Linked DNA regions of Caenorhabditis elegans. The protein of the gene in region 1 interacts with the protein of each later gene in a pairwise test. Each region holds a gene or a part of one and is shown in the gene's direction. Other genes may lie near its edges.

Region 1 (4,582 bases):
AACCGTTGCACTTTTCATTGCGGAAGTCTGGAGTAAATGGTATTTATTAAGGGGTGGACATAAGTTCTAGGTATAATCCAAAGTTATTTTAAACAATTATTTTATGAGAATTTTTGTTGTCAAGCAACAAGCAGTTCGTCACATTTCGTCAAAAAAACTTTCATAATTTCGTCTTTAATTTTTTAAATTAAAAACAATTCATACTCAAAAAACATGCAAAATTCTAGAATTTAATTGGTCATTCTGTAACTCCGTTCAAAACCTCATTGCAAAGTTCAGATTTCGTATATTTTCGAATAAGATAATCATGTCGATTTTTCTTCAATTATACCTTTTCAACTTCAATAACAAAGCACGTATTGTCCCGTCTCAAAACACATCCCGATTTCTTCAACCGTTCTCTGGTCGCTGGGATAATATTTTTCCGTCTTGTAACCTCAACACTACATGTTTCACCTTTCATGAGCTCTGTCTGATACTTGGATATATTTCCACTGGCACCGTTCACCTTGACTATTTTGTCGCCTGAAAGAAAAGTATTTTTAATCTAGTTTTTTAAACTGGTTTAATACATTAATTGGAAAAGTGTAAAGTGGAAAAGAAACTAGGGAGTCTTCCGAGGAAAATTGACTTTTCCTGGCTCAAAATGTATAATTGTGGACAGAAGAGTTTTGAAACCCTTGTACCAGTCAAACCAATTTTTGCCTATTATTTTATCGGGGATAAATATACATTTGTTCGGCAAAACATCACAACTTCATAGCAAACTCTTGCAACTTGAAACAAACATTTATAAACAATTGCCAAGAGATGTTACAAAGTTGCAAAAACCGGAGCAGTTCTAAGCGAAATGTTTCATAAAGTTTGCCAAAAGAAATTGCAAGAGTCATCTGAAAAGCTGCAGAAATTTGTTAGAAAACTAAAGTAAATAATGGTTTGTAAGAAGTTGCAAGATTCTGTTATGAAGTTGGCCCGCTTCAAAATAGTTTCGGGTTATCCGGCCGTTGGAAACTTACTCAATATCAATCCATTGTAAAACGAGTTTGTTGATAGGAAAGAAACCATCGAATTCTCATTAATTCTAATAACTTCATTCGCAGGCTTTCCGACATCTTTTTCATCAATCTTGAATGAAACTGTCATATTTACAGTTTCCACATTCTGTGGGATCGGTGTCAGCCAACATTCTTTCATCTTTTTGTTCGTATTCTGCACTTTTTTCTTCGACATTCTTCTTCAAAAGAAATAACGTTTTCCGAAGTTACTTGTTAGCTCCAAACTCACGATTATGGTTTCCTTTTGAAATCCGGAAATTTAGTGTCAAATGATAAATAAGAATGATTAGAAATCTACCTCCTCCCCCTCGACTAAACTGAATTGGAAAAACATAAAGTTTAAATTCAAAATGGTGTGTCACGCGATAAAAAGTTACTGGAGAAACTTGAGAATTATAAAATAGTATTCAAATTAAACGTTTGATATAAAACTGTAAAGATATACATACTCAGTGCACATTTAAAAAAACTGAAAAAAAAACGTTGTTGTGTTCTGAAGCCCAAAAAGGCTAGATGTTCTGGTCACCATGTACAGCTAAGAATCCAAGTATTCTGGGAAAGTTCAATTACATATATTGCCTGTCAACTCCATTTCTGTACTTAATTCTACTCCAATTATATTATTTTTTTTCTATTTCCTGGACTTTTATTGATCCTTGGTTGCCTGTCCCCCCAATCTTTCTTCGTACTCTCCTCCCGTTTCCCCTTCCTTCTCGGAGAGCCTTGTCTCTCGAATCCTGTGTTTCGCAAAAATCATCGTCAACTTCCACACAGATATCATTCTGCGTCTCTTCGCCCTCTATGATCTCTCATGCCCGTTGATCAGGAGCATCTGTCACCCAGTGTAACACCAAGAATGTGTTTTGTGGAGGAGACGATGATGCCGTTGTGAGAAAGAAAAGCCCGCCCTCGGGTTCCTCCGCCTACTCGCTCCCGCCGTTGCTTCTGCCCGACGAAGCTTATCCAGAGCACAACAAACTCCGACAACATGGTGAGTCCCGCTTTCTCATGTCTTCAATAAATTTCTTTTTGAATTTTTATATGTTTATACTTTTATAGGCTGAGGATATCGAAGAGATTCTTGCTGAAATCGACGGATCCCAAATTGAGGGTAAGATATTTTATATTTATGATTGAAAAATCATCATTAAAACTTTCTAGAATACCAAAAGTTCTTCGATGCCTTCGACAGAGGAAAGCAAGGATACATCATGGCCACTCAGATCGGTCAAATCATGCATGGAATGGAACAGGATTTCGATGAGAAGGTAAATCATTTTGGAACTTTTGGTTTATGTAGAGTTAGGGGATCTTCAGAAGAGTGATAATTCAAATTAGGAAGTTTTCAACTCTTTTAAATTTAGGTTTCACGGTAATGATTAGGTAGGCCAACTGAGTAAGATAACCGAAAATATAAATGGGTTACTCTTGCCTAAAATTTTGTTTTTATCCGACCTATCTTCTGCGGCTTGTTTCTCAACTGAATTCAATTAATTTTCGCCACTAAAACATGTTACTAATGTTTGTGAAATAATTAATTTTGATATTCCATCTGAACAAAAGCATTTATTATGTCGACTAAAGTAAGATATAACTATATGTTATGAAATTTAGTTATAGAATTGATGATTTTGATTTTTCTAAATCTATGTGGCATCTAACTTCATTCTTTTAGACCCTTCGTAAACTGATCCGCAAGTTCGACGCTGACGGTTCCGGAAAGCTCGAGTTTGACGAGTTCTGCGCTCTCGTGTACACCGTTGCAAACACTGTCGACAAGGAAACATTGGAGAAAGAACTTCGTGAAGCTTTCCGTCTTTTCGACAAGGAGGTTTGTACTTTTAGATTTTGCTTTTTATTCTTTAATTATTAATTTTTCAGGGTAACGGATATATTTCTCGACCAACTCTGAAGGCTCTTCTCAAAGAAATCGCCGATGACCTCACCGATCAACAACTCGAGGAGGCTGTCGACGAGATTGACGAGGACGGTTCCGGAAAGATTGAGTTCGAGGAGTTCTGGGAGTTGATGGCTGGAGAGTCTGATTAAATTTTCTAATTCCTTTAAAATGTAAGTGTTCGAGCTTTTTTTGATTTTATTCAAAAACTAACTTTTTATTTTTCAGCGCTGATCTACAATCTTCAACTGTGGGGACCAGTCACCAACTTTTCATAATTTCCTTTTTCTTGAAATGTTAAATTCATTTCACTTTTTATTAATTTTCTTGTCATTCTTTTGAATGAATAAAAATGAATAAAAGTCTTTGTACATCCACAGGCTTATTGGAAGAGTGTGACCAATTTGAAACGGCCAAAATCAGGAAATAATCAGAAGAACTAGACTTCTCAAATCCTTTAACACAACATCAAATCCGCAGTATAGTGCTCCGTTTTCTCTTGACCTAAAAAAACGGGAAAAGTCCATCTACGGGGAATGGAATGACAAATCTCTATAAATATAGAGATTCACCGTTGCAACCTTGTTGTTTGAAAGTGAAGTGTCTCTAAATAGAATGAAAATTATGAAAAATGGAAAATGTATTAAATCACTGCAAATGAGACCTCTACTCTGCGGCATTACAGTTTTTACCGTTTTAGCGCAACAGGACAGTTTTTGTAAATTTGCAAAAGTAAAGTGACAATTCTCTATGTAGATTTTCTACGAATGAATTTCAGGATACTTGTGAACTTGCAAAACAGTTTTTCACTATTTCAATTGTTCCAAATCTAAATTCAACAAATCCCTCTCTTTTTCTCTATCTGTGCTCAACTCTTTTCTATATAAACTTAGTGTAACATAGGCTTTATCTTTTTCTATCCACTTTCCCACCAATATCCCTCCAGGAATAGAAAAGGGATTAACGGTGGAGACTCCAAATAGTGTCCATCACATGCAGCTACTATTGCTCCAGAAGCCCTTCACGAGTCTCTCTGCCGTCTCTTTGCTTATCAGAGCCCAGATACTTACTATGGAAACCATCAGATGGGAAAACGAGAAGAAGAAAGCAGATGTAAATATAAATTAGAAAATAAGAAGAAGAAGAGACAGACATAGAGTTGTCCCTCCGTTTCTCTTTCTCTCACTCCCTTTCAAAGCGCCACGTGTTAGTTTCTTTGAAGTAGGTACAAATATTAGGATGCTCTCAATGTCTATAATGTATCTGGTTTACTGTAATTCTATGTCTCTCATTCTGAAACACTGTTTTTAAATTCCTTGCTTCATTCTTTAGCTACCTTGCTTCAACTCAGAAATAACAAAAACAAGTGTTTTTCTAGAGTATTTTTGAAAGATAACTGCTGAAATCAGAACTGCAGTAATTCTCTGAAAATAAAAATTTAAATAAAATACACAATTCTTTTAAATACTTTAAAAAAAAATATATTTTTAGCTCACACGACTTATCAAAAAACATCACTCTGATTGTGAGAAAACTCACCAGTTTTTGCTGAAAATTTTTTAAATTAAATTATTTCTTACATGTCTTAGATTACTTTTGAAACCTGAGAAAACTCGGTCACTCTTATTGT
Region 2 (4,999 bases), on another chromosome or scaffold:
ATTGCGTGGGAATGATATTCCGGAGCACATTTATCGAATGAGAAGACTTGGGTTAATCGATGGATATCCGCCAGGCTGGTTGAGAAAGTATGAAAATGGTAAATTTATGCAATTTAATATTGTTATTAATTTCAGATCAATCAAATCCACCGATCAATTGAAATTCTTCGACTCGACATCCAAAGAAGATGATGAAATGTCAGTGAAGCCTCCTGAATTAGATACATCGAAAATTGTATGGTATCCAGGATTCAATGGAGAACAATCTTCTCTAAATGATGTAAGAACAAATATGTTGTCACTTTAGAAATTACATTTTTATAGCGTGAAGACTTCAAGATTCCACCAAGAGATGTATTTTGCTCAGTTTATCAAGATGAATTGCTGAAAATATTCAAGAAAAGTGAAAAAGCGGAGAAACGAAGAGCCAAATCAACTCCGAAACATAAAAAGTTCGCTAATGAAGATGATGATGATGTTATAGTAATCACAAGTGATGAAATCAAAATTGACAAGTTCAATACTCCGGGAGAAGTAAATTAAATTAAAATAAAAATTCAATATCAGTTACTTTTCCAGGAAGATTCCATTATAATACTCGACGGCTCTGCTTCAACAGAAGAAAAACACCTTTTGACTCCGATTCGAAAAGATGTAAAACTAGGAGAATCGATGTTTGAATTAATCGGAACTCCAGTGTTTGGTAGCTCTCTTCTTACTCCTGTTGCTCCACTTGAAGCGTTTGCCGTCGGAATTCAACCATTTGAAGCAAGAGAAGAACTTACTGGATGCAAGGGAAACTTCAGAAATCTCATGGACAAATTGAAAGAAATCCGCGAAAATAACTTCGTTCCGGAGCCTGAAGAAGAAGTTATTTTGGTTTCAACGAATGAAATTTCGTCGTCGAATAACTCTGGAACTGCTAAGAACAAAAATAATCAGAACAGGAAAAGAAATAGAAGACATGCTAAATGAATTGGCTTTTTGAAAAATCCTTTTGTTGAATTATTGTTGTTGCTTAAAATTGTTGTTGTTGTTCCATATTTTTACGCAAAACTACCATGATAAAACCTTTTTTCTTGATTTTCCAACCTCTCTCTTGTTGTAAATGGTTCCGAATGTCCACAATCTTCTATTTTGGTCATCAATTATATCTTTATCTCTGCGTTTCTTTCACTCTTGCCGCTTTCCGATGGATTGGTGACACACAGCAAATATCGGTTTTCTCAATTTAAACTAAATTGGTCTAATTGGCTTATGTTTAATCAGATTATTTCGAGAAACCTGTGAATATTAAAAAGATGGTATAGGTTTTGAGGGATTTTTTGCCGAATTTATTTTTTAGAAAGTGATGGAATTTTTTATGATTGCAAATTTTTTTAAAAATTATTTAAAAACGAGCTGAATTATTTTTTGAATTCCCGCGCAAACGAATTCCTAAAGTTTCGACGTTTTCAGGTTATATTATTAAGGTTTTTATTAAATTATTGATTCGAAACATAATTTTGTAAAACTTTCATACATTTTTTCCCGCAAAACAAGTTTACATTATTGATTTGAGGCCAGATTTAGAGTTTCAGAGAAGTTCTTTAGATTAACAAAATAAAATAAAAAGAAACCCCAATTAATATAGCCGGAAAAAGCAAAAAATATCGAAATTGTGTAGATCACTTGCGCGGGAATTCAGAAAAAGTTTAGCCTTTTTAATCATTTTTTTTCCAAAATTGAAAAAAATCATTTAAAACAATGTTCAAATTTTGTAATTTTGTTACAGTTATTTTCGGTAAATATATTGAGATTGTTATTGTTAATTAGAAGGAAAACCTACAAAATCTGCTCCCATACCATGCATAACTATATTTAAGATCCGAAATCTTATTCAAAAAAGTAATAAAATTAATTGAAACCTTTTTTCCAGGCCACCAGTTGTTCTTATCATTCATTCGTGACAATTTATTCATTGCATTCTTTTTCTTTCGTTCAGGCAGCGGTCCACTGGCTTGTCCATCCGATTGTTTGCACATAAAGTGTATGATGACTCATCACATTCCTTTTCCCTCTCTTCTTATTCTGTTCTCACTCAAAATAATTTTTTGTTATGATTTTCAACCTTCTTCGTCTCGAACTAAATTTATGAATTTTTTGAAATATTCAAAGTTTTCAGCGGATTCTTTCCATCGTTTCTAAATCACAAAACACAATGGTTGATCGACTTGGTAAGTTTTATTTATTTTCTTTTATAAAATAATTTATTAAATTTTAGTGAATAGTGAAGTGAATTCCCGTCGAATGGCTAACGTAGAACAATGCTTTGGAAAAATGGGAGAACAATTGTCGGTATTCGGACGAGTTCTTGTCGGAGAAGGTGTTCTTGTGAAAATGTGCCGAAAGAAACCGAAGCAACGGCAATTCTTCTTGTTCAATGATATTCTTGTATATGGAAACATTGTGATTTCGAAAAAGCGATATAATAAGCAAAGAATTCTAAGATTGGAAGGTGTACAAGTAGAAGATCTGGAAGACGATGGAATTGAGAAACATGGATGGATTATTAAGACACCTGCAAAATCGTTTGCAGTTTATGCAGCAACTGAAACTGAAAAACGAGAATGGATGTTGCATATTGAGAGATGCGTTACAGATCTCCTTGAAAGAGGTAATACACGAAAATTATTTTCAAAAAATTTCCACCAAAAAATTGCAGAGAAAGTTTGAAACCACCGTAATCTTTAAAGGCGCTTACCATTTTCCGTTTCAAAAAATCTTGTCGTTTCGAGACCGAAAACCGTATTTTTAATGCAACAATCGCAACATTTTTCGTCTAATTAATATTAAGCTTAAATAAGTCTTAGGCGCATTGTGGTCTTTTTATTTAAAAAAATGTTGGCAGCAATGTTCAATTTAATTTATAAATTGTGATGCAAAATTGGTCCATAGATCGACAAGTTACAGTAATTTGTTGTCCGCCTGGCGAGACCCATGCGCCTAAGATAGGTGAAAAATTCTCATATTTAAATGACCAATAATATACGTTCTACAAAAAAATTGGGAATCACCATATCTCTAAATTAAAACGGTTTTTTAGATAAATTATTTTTTTCTATTAAAAATACAATCAAAATTTTCTACTTTCAGGAAATAAGCAAGCCGCGACTGCTCACGCAGCTGTATGGGTTCCCGATGGTGAAGCAGTGAAGTGTATGGTCTGCGGGAAAACTCAATTCAATCTGGTTCAAAGAAGACATCACTGCAGAAATTGTGGACGTGTCGTGTGTGGCGCCTGCTCATCGAGAACATTCCGTATTGACAATGTACATAAGAAGCCTGTCCGAGTTTGTGATCATGTACGGTGAAGTTTGACACTTTATCGTCTAAATATCATGATTTTTCAGTGCTTTGACAGTCTGAGTAGTGCCACACCAGGACAAGAAGAAAGTGAACCAAAAACGGGAAATCGCTTGCACCATGAGGATTCCTCCTCGGATAGTGAAGACGAGGTCAATGGTAGTGGACGATCGAGTAATGAGAGCCGGGTATACTGAATATTGCCTAATCTTTCAATAAACATACAAATTTCAGCCAACATTCTACCGTGAGGACGTTCAGCAGCCGGCAACATAGTTCAACGCATATAAACTACGATGAAAATTCTAAAATCCACGTCCTCATTCCTACTACTAAATTAATATTATATTTTCTTAAACGTTCCTGTGATATACAGCAATTGTACGTATTTTTTTTTGTTGCTTCCAACGACTTTTACAATTCCTGAAAAAAAGTTATTTCCTTTTTCTTCAATTCAAGATTATTCAGAACTGCACAAAATTAAAACGACCACATGACAGAAGGAATCATTTTAATAATCATGAATTACAGAAATGATCAAATTTCTTGTCCTTACAAGAAACAGCGCAATTAACTGAAGTGTTCAGAGAAACGTATGGTCCATTCGGCTTGGAATCATATAAATGTTCTTAAATTATTAAAAGTAAAATAAATGTTTTATTTACATATGATTAGTGAAATCAGAGCACAAAAGTGTGCAATGAAAAATAAATTTTATTTTCTGGAGTACTGTAAGCGGGCACATGGTGTATTGTACGCAGAGTTCTTCGAGTGTTTGCGTATCCACGTTGTTCTCCACGTGGACAAAACGCGCGGCACGTTTACTTTCTGAAAATTCGTTTTATTTTTGCATTACTGTCTTCTTAAAAGCTGAAAATGGCTGCAAACGAAGTGTAAATTTCATAAATTCCTAAGCTTTTATTCATATATATATATATATATATATTTCATCATGTCCTATTTTTGCAGTGATTCCATGGAACCAGGAGAATTGATGGAAGTGGATACGAGCCAGGAGCTGGATGAAAACACTTCGGCGAAGGAAACGGACCAGCCGAGTTCGTAATAATGTTACCATTCGAAATAACCTTGTTCAAAAGTTTTCAGAAGATGCTCAAAATGATCCAGAAATTGTATGCGGCGATAGTAATGAGGTCAAGAAGGAGTCTCCGAGTGTAGAAGAGGATCAGTCAAGTACTGAAACTATGTCTAATGAATTTGAAGTGGCCGCTGCAATTCTCGAACAAGAAAACGAAGATTCCGGTCAGAACGCCCCCAGTTTGGGAGAATTGCTGTCTCGGAGTGTGAAGTTAGAAGCTTTTTTTGTTACTTATTTTAAAAACATCATTTCAGTAATTACCACCCTGAACATTACTCTTCACCACCTCTCATGCGTAAACCCGATTTCCGTTTTCCAATCATTAATCCTGGTTTGTAGAAAAACACGTTTACTTAAAAGATATTGTGAATTACAGAGAAAGCTCAAGGAAAACTATTCGTTCTCTATCAGCTGATTATTACCGTTCCGGACTCGTTGAAGAAATTTCCTCCGTACACATCAGAAACAGTTTGCTGCCAACTGTGCGGAATCGATTTGATGGGATCAGCTATGTTTGCTCATCTGATCACTATCCAACATCTTAAGTTATAGAAC

Evidence for each region. The genes of interacting proteins can lie anywhere in the genome.
Region 2: the proteins of pat-10 (region 1) and ZK632.12 interact in a two-hybrid assay, tested with the Caenorhabditis elegans proteins (one large-scale study listed by BioGRID).

Annotation. Positions count from the first base shown.
Region 1 is NC_003279.8:5,017,525-5,022,106, reverse strand, and holds pat-10 (EF-hand domain-containing protein), read left to right. Parts: upstream 1-2,020; 5' UTR 2,021-2,043; coding exon 2,044-2,046; intron 2,047-2,114; coding exon 2,115-2,166; intron 2,167-2,216; coding exon 2,217-2,323; intron 2,324-2,730; coding exon 2,731-2,886; intron 2,887-2,936; coding exon 2,937-3,104; 3' UTR 3,105-3,125; intron 3,126-3,180; 3' UTR 3,181-3,324; downstream 3,325-4,582. Other genes in the region: C46H11.6 (PDZ domain-containing protein), read right to left, coding at 1-27, 332-525, 1,017-1,230.
Region 2 is NC_003281.10:9,828,638-9,833,636, forward strand, and holds ZK632.12 (uncharacterized protein), read left to right. Parts: upstream 1-2,164; 5' UTR 2,165-2,200; coding exon 2,201-2,216; intron 2,217-2,263; coding exon 2,264-2,656; intron 2,657-3,135; coding exon 3,136-3,344; intron 3,345-3,392; coding exon 3,393-3,533; intron 3,534-3,579; coding exon 3,580-3,621; 3' UTR 3,622-3,786; downstream 3,787-4,999. Other genes in the region: ZK632.11 (uncharacterized protein), read left to right, coding at 1-87, 136-280, 325-534, 580-975.